Saccharomyces cerevisiae S288C: one gene and its partner. The protein of the gene in region 2 binds, or shares a complex with, the protein of the main gene of each other region. Each region holds a gene or a part of one and is shown on either strand. Other genes may lie near its edges.

What was found. Proteins that work in one complex are often made in the same cells at the same time.
Region 1: BRE2 (region 2) and SWD2 share a complex: the UniProt entries of both Saccharomyces cerevisiae proteins name them as parts of the set1C/COMPASS complex.

What each region holds. Positions count from the first base shown.
Region 1 is NC_001143.9:399,936-405,591, forward strand, and holds SWD2 (WD-repeat containing protein SWD2), read left to right. Parts: upstream 1-4,166; coding exon 4,167-5,156; downstream 5,157-5,656. Other genes in the region: SPT23 (Spt23p), read right to left, coding at 1-2,145; RAM2 (bifunctional protein farnesyltransferase/protein geranylgeranyltransferase), read left to right, coding at 2,633-3,583; MCO12 (Mco12p), read right to left, coding at 3,645-3,944; ATP-dependent 5'-3' DNA helicase HCS1, read right to left, coding at 5,255-5,656. UniProt on the Saccharomyces cerevisiae protein: The COMPASS (Set1C) complex specifically mono-, di- and trimethylates histone H3 to form H3K4me1/2/3, which subsequently plays a role in telomere length maintenance and transcription elongation regulation. Involved in mediating RNA polymerase II termination.
Region 2 is NC_001144.5:171,167-179,203, forward strand, and holds BRE2 (Bre2p), read left to right. Parts: upstream 1-4,060; coding exon 4,061-5,578; downstream 5,579-8,037. Other genes in the region: GAT3 (Gat3p), read left to right, coding at 173-598; PPR1 (Ppr1p), read right to left, coding at 1,102-3,816; PML1 (Pml1p), read right to left, coding at 5,636-6,250; MEU1 (S-methyl-5-thioadenosine phosphorylase), read left to right, coding at 6,442-7,455; POM34 (Pom34p), read right to left, coding at 7,541-8,037. UniProt on the Saccharomyces cerevisiae protein: Component of the Set1C/COMPASS complex that specifically mono-, di- and trimethylates histone H3 to form H3K4me1/2/3, which subsequently plays a role in telomere length maintenance and transcription elongation regulation.

The DNA of each region.
Region 1 (5,656 bases), on a different chromosome or scaffold from region 2:
ATGTAATAGAGTTCTACCCCTAACGTCACACATGGAAAGATTGACGGTAGAGAGATTATTATTTCTCTTAAATGACTTAATAACTTCAGTGATCAATTGTTCATCGTTTATATTTCGCATCATATTCGTGTACGAATTTAAAGAGCTATTCTGTGAGTGTAATCCTGCGTTATTATTAGATGGAGATGAATCACTGCCAACAATCCTTTTAGCAATATTTCTTGCATCTTCCAGTTTACCGTTCATTTTCAGCCCCACAATTTGCAGAGCCAATTCAATTAGTTGCCTATCAGTATCATCAACATAAGTAAAGATTGCTTTCTCACCGGTATACTTGTTTAAGTGCAGAATGTCATTGGTACTATTGCTGGTGGAAACACTACTATTGCTATTATTTCTCATAGACGTTTCACTTGGGTCGACTATGGTTACCAAAACCGGTCCAGGTTTAGATGAAGGCGGTAAATAAGTCACCATCGTAGATTCATTCCAGCATTGGCTGGACAATGCTATATTTTCGCCAAACTTGATGATTAAGCCCTGCTTAAACTTTGAGCCAAGTAGAGTCACTTCTATACCTCCGTTGATGGAACCTTGTGCGGGGATGACACGCTGAATAGAAGGCTTGTTATTTAGCGCCACGGGGACACTATTATGGTTCGATATATCTTTGGAAGAATCGATGAATTTCTGGGGAAGACGGGAAAACGTATTAGGCGTAGACATAAAAGGCTCGTTTACCGAACGCTGCCTCTTGCCAGTGTGTCTCGCAGAGGCCGCACTGAAATCACTAGTTAATGTAGTAAGAGCGGGATTAGATGAACTATTAAAACCTGTGGACGACCAAGAGTCTAGTGAACGATGTAAATTGTTGTCGTTGTTATTAGAAAAATGAATATCTGAAAAAGAATGGTTGCTGTCCTCACTGGAGGAATTTGGTGATGGAAAGTGTCTGTTGTTGTTCATCATTGCGGTATTAGTCTTAATGTTGTTTTTGTTATCATTATCATTGTTGTTGTTATTACAATTGCTATCAAGCATACAGTTCGTAGAAATGACAAAATTTTTACTGTTAGAAGGCAGGGGGAATTCGGATGGGAAGTTTAAGTCACTTTGCGGCGATGAAAAGGATCTAGTGTCATTTGTCATTGGCGAAACCTGGGCATTGCTGGTGCTGGTTGGAGTTGTGGTATTGCTGGCATTTTTCTTGTCCATGATCATTATGGGATCTGTTATAGTTTTCGCCAAGATATCGCCGTTATGGTCCCTTAGAAGGAACAAAACTACAAACCCGTTAGTTGCCTTGTGGTGTCTGCAGTAACAGACGATTCTCGTCGGTAAGTCGAAATTGATACAGTTAGAGTTACCACTCAAACCGTTATTACTAATGATGAAAAGTTGTTTACTATTGAATATGATTGCTCTTTTGTTTTCGTTATTTTGCCAGATGGAGTTGTCGTTCAACCCAGACTTTCTTCTCGACGCTCTTCTTTTTTCCCTGTTGATACATCTATTACAAACATAGGTCTGCTTGAAGTTGTTGCTATTGTTGTTAGATGCACACAAAAGAAAGGCGTCCAAGAAAAGAGTCCTTTCGTTGATGTCCCTATTGGGTATTGTCAAGTTGGTGGGATCGTCCGAGCTGGTGAAAAACTTGTCCTTCGCTATACAATCAGAGGGCAGATGAATAAAGAAGTTTTTTCTTGCATGTGCGTTTCTAATCCGAAAACTCAGCTTCATCTGAGTTTCCACCCTAGAAACCTTCGGCAACCCAATAATTTCTAGAGACAATGGAAGGGACTGCGGGTTAATGTTGATAAAATCCAGTGGATTCGCGTATGGCGTCCTCAGAGGTAGCTTTCTGCCAAATTGAACGTGTCGATCAAGCAATCCTTGCAAAGATGCGATGTCATCCCTGAGCTCCCCTTCATCTTCCTTACCTGGTGTAGTAGTACCTGCTGTTATCATTTTCTCTTGGTTCAGACTCAATAAACCAGGGTCTTGCAGAGAGGACCCAGAGTTGAGCAGAGCAATATCCAGTAATTCTGATTCTAGTAAATCCAAGTCCGGAGAGCCATCGTTGTGCTGTATGTTGGCGCTATAGCTGTGGAGCATCGAGGAAACGTTTCCTGTGCCACTCATCATTTTCAGTGGTGTACTACTGTTGTGATTAGTCGTTTAGAGGATATCTAGAGTATAATTATTTTGAATGAGTTTCGTTGACATTTTCAGTTCATGCGATCATCTTACTTTCATGGTTGCTCCTTGCCGTTAAAATTGAAACGAAAAAAGCGGGAATACAACAATGTCACCTTACACGAGCAGAGAAAAGGGCAGCAATAGCGACAATAACCGATAATGCCAGGCCTTCCAGAGCCCTATGCTGACCTATATTCATCATGACGCTATCCATATGCAACTAGAGACCTGCTGGGAAGCGCTCTCTCATTTTTGAAGGTTGCAGCAGTGCTCGCGCCGGTTTTCGATTGGGCCTCGTGATAAAACACATCAGCAAAGTTTCGCTTTTGACATTCTGTTAAATTGGTCCTTAACTGTTGGTGCAGACCTACTGCAAGACTGTTAATTATGGTATATTATATATCAAGTGCTGATACAACGTACACCATCGAAAATGGAGGAGTACGATTATTCAGACGTTAAACCTTTGCCCATTGAGACAGACTTGCAGGATGAACTGTGCAGGATTATGTATACCGAGGATTATAAGCGGTTGATGGGACTCGCAAGGGCTCTGATCAGCCTTAACGAACTGTCACCCAGGGCACTACAGCTAACAGCCGAAATTATCGACGTGGCGCCAGCCTTCTACACCATATGGAACTACCGATTCAATATCGTCAGGCACATGATGAGTGAATCCGAAGACACTGTCTTGTACCTGAACAAGGAATTAGACTGGCTAGATGAAGTTACGCTGAATAATCCAAAGAACTATCAGATCTGGTCCTATAGACAGTCTCTTTTGAAGCTACATCCGTCTCCTTCCTTCAAAAGAGAGCTGCCTATCTTAAAACTGATGATTGATGATGATTCCAAGAATTATCACGTTTGGTCGTACAGAAAGTGGTGCTGTTTGTTCTTCAGTGACTTTCAACATGAGCTCGCCTACGCCAGCGACCTCATCGAGACAGACATTTATAACAACAGCGCATGGACTCATAGGATGTTTTACTGGGTGAACGCTAAAGATGTCATTTCAAAAGTGGAATTGGCCGACGAGCTCCAGTTCATTATGGACAAGATTCAATTGGTTCCGCAGAACATCAGTCCGTGGACCTACCTCCGTGGTTTCCAAGAGCTATTCCATGATAGGCTACAGTGGGATAGCAAAGTAGTCGACTTCGCCACAACCTTCATCGGTGACGTATTGTCACTTCCAATTGGCTCACCAGAGGATTTGCCCGAGATCGAGTCCTCATATGCCCTGGAATTCCTGGCATATCACTGGGGGGCAGACCCTTGTACCCGAGACAACGCTGTTAAGGCCTATAGCTTGCTAGCAATCAAATACGATCCTATTAGAAAAAACTTGTGGCACCACAAAATAAATAATCTGAACTGAATATATGTAAGCACTCTATTTGTACGAATATATTTACGTGTGTACGTGCATGCACGCAAGTTTAATCTAGTTCTACAAACCTACTGCTGTATTGAGATTGATCTCTTCCCCTTCGTTTTGGACCGCTATCATTGATGCGTCCAAACCCGTCCTCGTTCAACTGCTTTCTGAAAAATTTAGAACGTTTAACCATCTTCAGCGTCCTTGTGTAGCACATCTCTCCCCATGACAGATATCTATGTATCCAGCCGCCCAACTGATACTGGTTGTAAAAGAATATCATTCCCGTCTCCCTTCTTATTGCCGATAGGAGCATAGCTACCAACGTCCCCTCTACTACCCACCTTATCATTCCCAACATCTTGCAATATGTTACGATCTGATCTTCACTCTCTTTTGCTCCTTCTTTTTGCTGTTTAACTGTTACCTACACTCATTTATTCGATACCTTTTTTTACCCATTTTTTCTTCATGCAGTTTAGCACTAGTACATTAAAAAAGAAAGAAAAAAAATGAAAGCAAGACTAAAATATCGAGCAAAGCACAAGCAAATACACCGTTTGTCCTTTTAGCATAGCCAACAATGACCACCGTGTCCATCAATAAGCCCAACCTGCTGAAATTCAAGCATGTTAAAAGCTTTCAACCTCAAGAAAAAGACTGCGGACCCGTAACCTCATTGAATTTCGACGATAATGGCCAGTTTCTACTGACCTCTTCTTCCAACGATACAATGCAATTGTACAGTGCCACGAACTGCAAATTCTTGGACACTATAGCCTCTAAGAAATATGGCTGTCACTCCGCTATCTTTACGCACGCACAAAACGAATGTATCTATTCCTCTACAATGAAAAATTTTGACATTAAATACCTTAATCTGGAAACAAACCAATATCTAAGATATTTTTCCGGTCATGGCGCCCTAGTGAATGATTTGAAGATGAACCCCGTGAACGATACGTTTCTATCGTCGTCATACGATGAATCCGTTAGGCTTTGGGATTTGAAGATCTCTAAACCGCAAGTTATTATACCAAGTCTCGTACCAAATTGTATCGCATATGATCCAAGTGGCCTTGTATTCGCATTGGGGAACCCAGAGAATTTCGAAATAGGGCTATATAATCTGAAAAAAATTCAGGAGGGTCCTTTCTTGATAATTAAAATTAATGATGCGACTTTCAGTCAATGGAATAAATTAGAATTTTCTAACAATGGAAAGTATTTATTAGTTGGCTCCTCGATAGGAAAGCATTTAATTTTTGACGCATTCACAGGTCAACAATTATTCGAACTAATAGGAACAAGGGCCTTCCCGATGAGAGAATTTCTAGATTCTGGATCTGCTTGTTTCACACCAGATGGTGAATTCGTCCTTGGAACCGATTATGACGGTAGGATTGCCATTTGGAATCATTCTGATTCAATAAGTAACAAAGTATTAAGGCCGCAAGGGTTCATTCCCTGTGTTTCTCATGAGACCTGCCCCAGGTCAATTGCATTCAACCCTAAATATTCGATGTTTGTTACCGCAGACGAAACAGTAGATTTTTACGTGTACGATGAATGACTGCTGCTACTGCATTGATATACTAGAGGATATAATATATAACGAACATTTTTTACCTACTGTATAACGACGTATACTCTATACATCTTGTGTATTCTTTACAAATAATCGTCAATGTTGGGGTACCTTACGTCAGCGTTCTCTTCACACCATTCTGACCAACTTTTTAGGTACTTGTTACCGCACCTTTGCAGAACTTCTATATTGCCAACAACAACTAGTTGCCTTCTGGGTCTTGTCATGGCGACGTTCAGTCTTCGTTCTTCCTTAAGGAAACCAACTTCAAATTTTTCATTGCTACGAACTAAACTCAATATGATAACATCTTTTTCACGGCCCTGGAACCCATCTACAGTTGATATTTCAATATCAGTTAATTTTAATTCATCATGGATCAATTTTTTCAGATGAGAAACTTGTGCATTGTATGGAGAAATAACACCTATAGAGTTCTCCGGGACGTTGAATGACCTTAAATTCTCAATGTGTTCTTTTACAAT
Region 2 (8,037 bases):
CAAATGGTCGAGCATGTTAATTAATATTTGTTGCTCTGTTTGAAGAGTATATTATAAGACGAGAGGTTCTTTGAGGGAGCTTATCTTACCTTTTCTTGATTTGAAACAATTTCATTAAATGTAAACAATTATCAACTAGAAGCAAATATAAAGCCAGAAGGAAGAATTTGCTATGAACATTAAGACTTTGTGTCATCCAGAATATAAAAGAATCTCCGTTGAATCGTTATTGAATCCGGTAGAGGAGACAATAGACTGCGAAAAACCTCACTCTCAAACAAAAATCAATACTGCTAAACCCATTAGTGCATCTTTGTATGTCACAACGAATAATACTGCTGTTGTTCAGCACAATGTCCAAAAGAGGAAAGGCGTCACCAGGAGATGTCCACAGTGTGCGGTGATAAAAACTTCTCCGCAATGGAGAGAGGGTCCTGATGGAGAGGTGACATTGTGTAATGCCTGTGGATTATTTTATAGAAAAATATTTTTGGTTTTTGGCAAGGATCTGGCAAAACGGTACTTTAACGAAATAAAAGGTGTGAGCGTCAAACGAAAAGTTCCAAAGAGCCTCTATGGAGTTACAAGAACGCGTTAAGAGAATTTATTTCTGCTCGGAATGTTATATACTTATGTCAAAGCAGTGATTATACATTTATCGACTTTAAACAGTTGATAACGAACATTATGTGTTATTCGAAAGTCAAAGTGCCATACAAAACAAGTGGTTTCTCAGTTCTTGCAATTTTTCTTTATCAGCGTAGTCCCAGAAAAAAAAATCATCACTGGAAATGTAAGATGAATTCAAGTATCAAGTGCCGTTGGTATTATAGTTTATCAATTAATACGTAAATATATATATATATATATATATATATATATATGACTATAGTGGCATACTTCTCAATGGACTGTTGCTTCTATCATTTTATACATGCGTTCAACTTTGAAGATTATCACAAAAACCTCAAACTTTTCAATTAATCTGCCCCGGTCATTTAAGTTAGCTCTTTTAGGACTCTCATGTTTTCAAAAAATAGATTGAAAAGAGCATTGGTGGCCCTACTTTCAATCCATTGATCATGATTCTTCGAGCTATCGCTAAAATATTCCACCGGATTCAGAGTTCTTTCCTTTACTGATATCGTAAGAAGACTCGCCTTCGTTTCCGTTACCAGACCTGACAAAAAACTCATCCCATACAGATCCCGAAGTAACCTGGAAAAGGATATCCATGATATCTTGATTATTGGTATACGACTGGCAATTCAATGCAGAAGACGTATTTGTAGAAGCACTTTCATTTATCACTTGATTACCTTCGCTTACATCTAAAGTATTAAACTGGGAAACATTGCTGTGTTTTTCCAGTTCGGTAAAAAATTCATCTAGAGGTATATCAAAAGGTGCTTTTTCTTCAAAATTGGTTCTATTAAAAACCTTGTTATCAAAAGTACCGTCGTCAAAACCAAGTACGTTCGTTTTTTTATCATAACTTGACATGCGGTTTGCCTGAGAGGTTAGGGGATTTGAATCCGAAAATATCCCTTTGGCATCATTTATTTGCATAAATTTTAACTTTATTACAACTGATGATAAAATTTTGTAACTCGTGTAACAGGTTTTCGCAGATTCGCAAAAACCTATCAGATTCTTCAGTACTATCAACACTTTTTCAGTGTACTCTGACACTTTTTCTTGACAATCATTTATGTTGTTTTTTGAGTAAAAATTTACGTAAAGGTAAGTCATACCTGTCATGAACATGTTATGAACTGCTACCCACGTGTAACCAATTTTTTTATTGACACAAAGATTGTAAAATACGTCTATGGTGCCCTTCGTACTGTCCAGGACAATTTTAAAAGCGGTATCATTCAAAGTAGGGAATTTTGGAGAAAGTCCATAAAGAATGCTCTTCGAGTAATGATAGTTCAGATCAAACCAGATGCTGTTAAATTTGCAATTCATCATCTCAAAGTTTTTGGGAACGTCCACTTGGAACCAACGCTCAAGCTCATTGTAGGTTTCAATCCGCCAGCTCTCGAGATCCATAAACCTCCTCGGCAATTCTGCACCGGGCGCGTAGAGTATTCTCACTATACTAGCTTGGATTCTTCTGATTTTATACATGGCCAATGCGATAACTTTTGAAGACGGATTTGGGCTTGGTAAGTCTGAGTAGTCGTCAATTTCTCGGTTAGTTAATGTGATGAAGGAATCGTCCAAAAGGCTAGGATACCTGGTGGTGATGCTTTCTTCAGGTATACCAAAAGGTCGACCAAAATACGAGCAAATTTGCCGATCTAAGGAGTAAACGCACCAAAATAGACGCCTGCGTATTTCTCTGGTAAAGGCGTCATAATTTTTATTAATTTTTTCCGAATGTAGTCCTAGGTCAACCGTTAGTCTTAGTACAGAACCCATAGTATACCAAACACCGGGGACATTAGGTCTCATTATTGAATAGATTACCATGAGCAAAGTGCCTGCCAATGCCTCCAACCTGTCTGAAGATGAAAATAAAGATGCAATATATTTAGTAGCGCGTCTCTTATATGTCGCGACAGTAGTAATATCTGACTTAAGTACCTGCGTAGCATGGCCAATAGCAAATATAATGTTTAAAAAAAAATAAGGTATGTGAAATTTTGTCGGTAGTTCAACTATCGGACGCATGTTGACTTTTTGAGATGTCTCCCAAGTGTCATACCATGGAACATCCACGGAAGAGCATACGTCAATCTTCTCAGTAACGTTCTCCCTTTTTGGTTCAGTATGCGCACTAAAAGCACTGGTAATTGGAATTTCGAACGCGCTATTTATGCCTGTCTGATCAGATGCCAATGCAATATTGGGATTCCAGGGACCATAAATAGGTTCAAAGTATTTTTTCAGGAAAAGTTCTCTATGCAGCAAAGGTAACTGGGAATTAGTATCTACAAAAAACCTGGATATCATAACTTCAGCGGCATGTCGAGGTGGTAGTTCCAATGGATCAAAGTGTGGATTGTTTTCAGCCTCTGCATATCCATTGTATTTCTGTTCCCTTTGTTTAATATCTTCATCCAGAACGTCATCTCCGGAATCTTGACGAAAATTAGTTGCCGTGAAGACTAATTTCGCAAAGGAAATACCCGATGAATCTCCTAAAAAAGAGTTAAAACTACTTTCTCTCATCGTGCCCAGCGCACTGATCTCCTTATTACATCGGCGTAGCTCTTCCGCTCTTGCATCTGAAGTCATAGGGCTGCCTGTCTCGGGTAATAAAGCGCTACCATCTTGTTTTTTTGAGTTTACCAGAAATTCCTTGCGTTGTACATTTATAGTCTGTGGGCTTGCCATAGACTTGCTCGTTATAGCTGAGGATGCCATAGAATTCCCTTTCTGAACCAAATAATCCGCCAATAAGCCATTATGTGGCAATATTCCCTCTTCTCCCAAAGATGAAACTGAACTGTACTTTTTCAAATCAAAAGGTTCATCATCACTTGTAGCAGGTATATTTCCTCGTATTTTCGTGGGATCTACTCCATATTCTTTCAACACACGCATCATGACAGCCAATCTATCTTCCAGAAAAAAGACGTAAGATCTTGGAACGTCCTTTCCGGTGGCTGGGTCCAAAGAAACACATGGTACCTCTAATTTTGCACACCTCTTACAGCTAGGAAACTCCTGATCACATTTAATTTTTTTCAATCGACATCGTTTACATGCAGTTCTAGATTTGGAAATTCCTATATTAGGAGAATCTCCTCTTTTTGATAAATCTGTTCTATTACTTTTTTTGGAGTTAAATTTTTTCTGCTTCATGATTTAATCATCATCTTCGTATGTTTTATGTACTCTAAAGGGTTACTCCTGTGCGAATAAAGCAAACCACTTTACGTTACTAAAATTTTTCACATTTGGTATTGTGAGTATTTTATGAAGCTCATCGCGGTAAAAGAAAAAAATAGAGAATCTGTGATTATAGTTTAAAAAGGATGTAGACAAAGGATATCAGCGATAAAGGTGGCCATAATTGGACGAAGACAAATAATTCACTTCCTTAATAATGAAGTTGGGTATTATACCTTACCAGGAAGGTACTGATATTGTTTACAAGAATGCTCTCCAGGGTCAGCAAGAAGGGAAGAGACCTAATTTACCACAGATGGAAGCAACGCACCAAATCAAGTCATCGGTTCAGGGTACAAGTTATGAGTTTGTCCGCACAGAAGATATTCCATTGAATCGAAGACATTTTGTGTACAGACCGTGTTCCGCAAATCCCTTTTTCACTATTTTGGGGTATGGCTGTACAGAATACCCATTTGACCACTCTGGAATGAGCGTCATGGACAGATCTGAAGGGTTGTCAATTAGTCGAGATGGAAATGATCTGGTAAGTGTCCCGGATCAATACGGTTGGAGAACTGCAAGAAGCGATGTGTGTATTAAAGAAGGAATGACGTATTGGGAAGTGGAGGTAATTCGTGGAGGAAACAAGAAATTCGCAGACGGTGTTAATAATAAGGAAAATGCTGATGATTCAGTAGACGAAGTACAAAGTGGCATATACGAAAAAATGCACAAACAAGTGAATGACACCCCGCATCTACGATTTGGAGTTTGCAGAAGAGAGGCCAGTTTAGAGGCTCCCGTAGGGTTTGATGTGTACGGGTATGGTATTAGAGACATTTCGTTAGAATCTATCCACGAAGGAAAATTGAATTGCGTCCTAGAAAATGGTTCGCCATTGAAAGAGGGTGATAAAATCGGATTTCTACTGAGTCTTCCTAGCATTCATACACAAATCAAACAAGCTAAGGAGTTTACCAAAAGAAGAATTTTTGCACTGAACTCCCATATGGATACGATGAATGAACCATGGAGAGAAGATGCTGAGAATGGGCCTTCAAGGAAAAAATTAAAACAAGAGACAACGAACAAAGAATTTCAAAGGGCGCTATTAGAAGATATTGAATATAACGACGTCGTCCGCGATCAAATCGCCATCAGGTATAAGAACCAGTTGTTCTTTGAGGCAACGGACTATGTAAAGACAACGAAACCGGAATATTATTCTTCTGATAAGAGGGAAAGGCAAGACTATTACCAGTTAGAGGATTCATATCTTGCTATCTTTCAAAATGGTAAGTACCTAGGCAAAGCATTTGAAAATTTAAAGCCGTTGTTACCACCGTTCAGTGAGTTACAATACAATGAAAAGTTCTATCTTGGATATTGGCAACATGGTGAAGCTCGTGATGAGTCCAATGATAAAAACACAACCAGTGCCAAAAAGAAAAAGCAGCAACAAAAGAAAAAGAAGGGATTGATACTCAGAAACAAATACGTAAATAATAACAAACTGGGTTACTATCCAACAATCAGCTGTTTTAACGGTGGAACAGCGAGGATAATTAGTGAAGAAGATAAATTGGAGTACCTCGATCAAATCCGATCAGCTTACTGTGTTGACGGGAATTCAAAAGTTAACACACTGGATACATTGTACAAAGAACAGATAGCTGAAGACATAGTATGGGATATAATCGATGAGTTGGAGCAAATTGCCCTACAGCAATAAAGCAGCATTCAAAGAAGAATAATTAAAACACACTGAAAGTGTGTTTCTTATATATGGTTATACATTCATGAAGATGAGTTCGTAATCGTTATCTTCTTCAAATTCTGAAAGTGTAAGGACGTCACCACTTCGTAGCTCTATATATCTCGCTCCAGGAATTACAACGTTGTTCAAACATGTCCCATTGGACGAATCCAAATCCATTACATAACATTTCAAAATGCCACGAACGTTCCTGAACTGGATGACGCAGTGCTGCTTTGAGGATGTTTCTTCGGGTATACCAATGTCTGCGACAACGATCTCCGTTCTATCGTCGAGATCTGTATCCAGACTGTGGCCCAGTTCACGACCGACTAAATAACAGCTCCTGCCGTTCAAATCGTATCTTTTCCACGGTCCTTTATCCTTGTCATTCTTTCTGTATATCACTAGTTCATACATAGTCCTATCTCGCGCCTCCAGTCCTAGCATATCCATGTAGTTATCTGGAGAAATAGCGTCCTGCGGCTCCACATGTTTTAAAGCTATACCTTCTTTGTTATTCGACTCCAGCTCTAACAGACCGGAAGGGCTGAAGTCTGGCATAATATCGATGTACTGCGATTTGAATTTCTTGTCATCATGGCCATAATTTCTGGTGTTATAAGGTCTTTTGCGTCTGTGAAACATGTCTATACGCAAATGGAGTCGGAAATGAAGTACACCATGCTTGCTGTGGCTTTTACGTTATACCAAGGCTTCTATTGTAGGACGCCTTTATTGTCAATTATGTGAAAAGAAAGCAAAAAAAAGAAAAAGAAAAATGAAAAAAGATGAACGTGTGAATGAAAAAAAACTATTTCGAGATGAGATGAGATTAAATGAACAGGATTAAGAATACATTTTCTGTTGCTAAGAGATTAAAACTAAGCAAAGTTATGACGAACTCAGAATTACCGAGCATATTCGAAGGAACTGTTGATTTAGGGATTATTGGTGGTACAGGTTTATATAACCTTGACTGTCTGGAGCCCATCGCTTTGCTTCCACCCATGGTAACACCATGGGGTACCACATCGTCTCCTGTCACAATCTCTCAGTTCGTAGGAACTAACAGCCACTTTCACGTTGCGTTCATAGCCAGACACGGTATTAACCACGAATACCCACCCACTAAAGTCCCATTTAGAGCAAACATGGCGGCCTTAAAGAACTTAAATTGTAAAGCCGTTCTTTCTTTTAGTGCCGTGGGGTCTTTACAACCCCATATAAAGCCTAGAGATTTTGTGTTACCACAGCAAATAATCGACAGAACTAAAGGCATAAGACATTCTTCATATTTCAACGATGAAGGCTTGGTAGGTCACGTTGGTTTCGGACAGCCGTTCTCTCAAAAATTCGCAGAGTATATCTATCAATTCAAGAACGAGATAACAAATCCTGAATCCGAAGAACCGTGCCATTTGCATTACGACAAGGATATGACCGTTGTGTGTATGGAAGGCCCACAATTCTCCACGCGCGCTGAATCCAAGATGTACAGAATGTTTGGTGGCCATGTTATTAACATGAGTGTTATTCCAGAAGCCAAATTGGCGCGTGAGTGTGAGCTGCCTTACCAGATGATTTGTATGTCTACCGATTACGACGCATGGAGAGATGAGGCAGAACCTGTTACCGTAGAAACCGTTATTGGTAATTTGACGAATAATGGGCGCAATGCAAATATTTTAGCTTCTAAGATCATCGTCTCAATGGCCAAGGAAATCCCAGAGTTCATGCATACTGGCGATGGGCTGCGCGGTTCCATCAAGAAATCTATCTCTACCAAACCAGAGGCTATGTCCAAGGAAACCTTAGAAAGACTAAGATACTTATTTCCAAACTATTGGTAATGGTTGCCGCTAATCATATGTAAAATATAAATAGGAGAGAAAACATATATAGCTATGGAAAGTATTAAATGTTTTTTTGCTGTTTTTATATTTTCCCCCTTGGGGACTGTGAGTTCATCATATATGCATATTTGCTACTTGGAATGTAGCCCTTCCTAGTTACAGGGGTATGCGGCGAGTTATTGTCATTGTTAGCGCTCACTAATGTGCTACTGATACCGCTATGCCTCTGCAGTGTGCCAAATACATTCTTTGTGTGTAAGGATTGAGATTGTAGTTTCGTCTGTTCCTCCGCCATTTCCCTTTGTCTTGCTTTCAAAGGCGTCTCTAAGCCTTTGAAGAGATATGCTGGATGATTTTTGAGATTTGTTTGAGGAATATGTGTTTTGTTCTGTGCCATTTGGCTGATCTTAGAAGTGGATACGTAGTGGGGGTGTTGTGGCTGCAACCCAGTATCGACAGATGATTGCATGTCTACCCCCAGGAGCTTCTTTTGCCTGTCAGTGAGATTCAAATCACTTACTTTGACGGTGGATAAGAGCTTCCAAAGAGAAAACAGTATATTGAGCGAGATTAATAGGT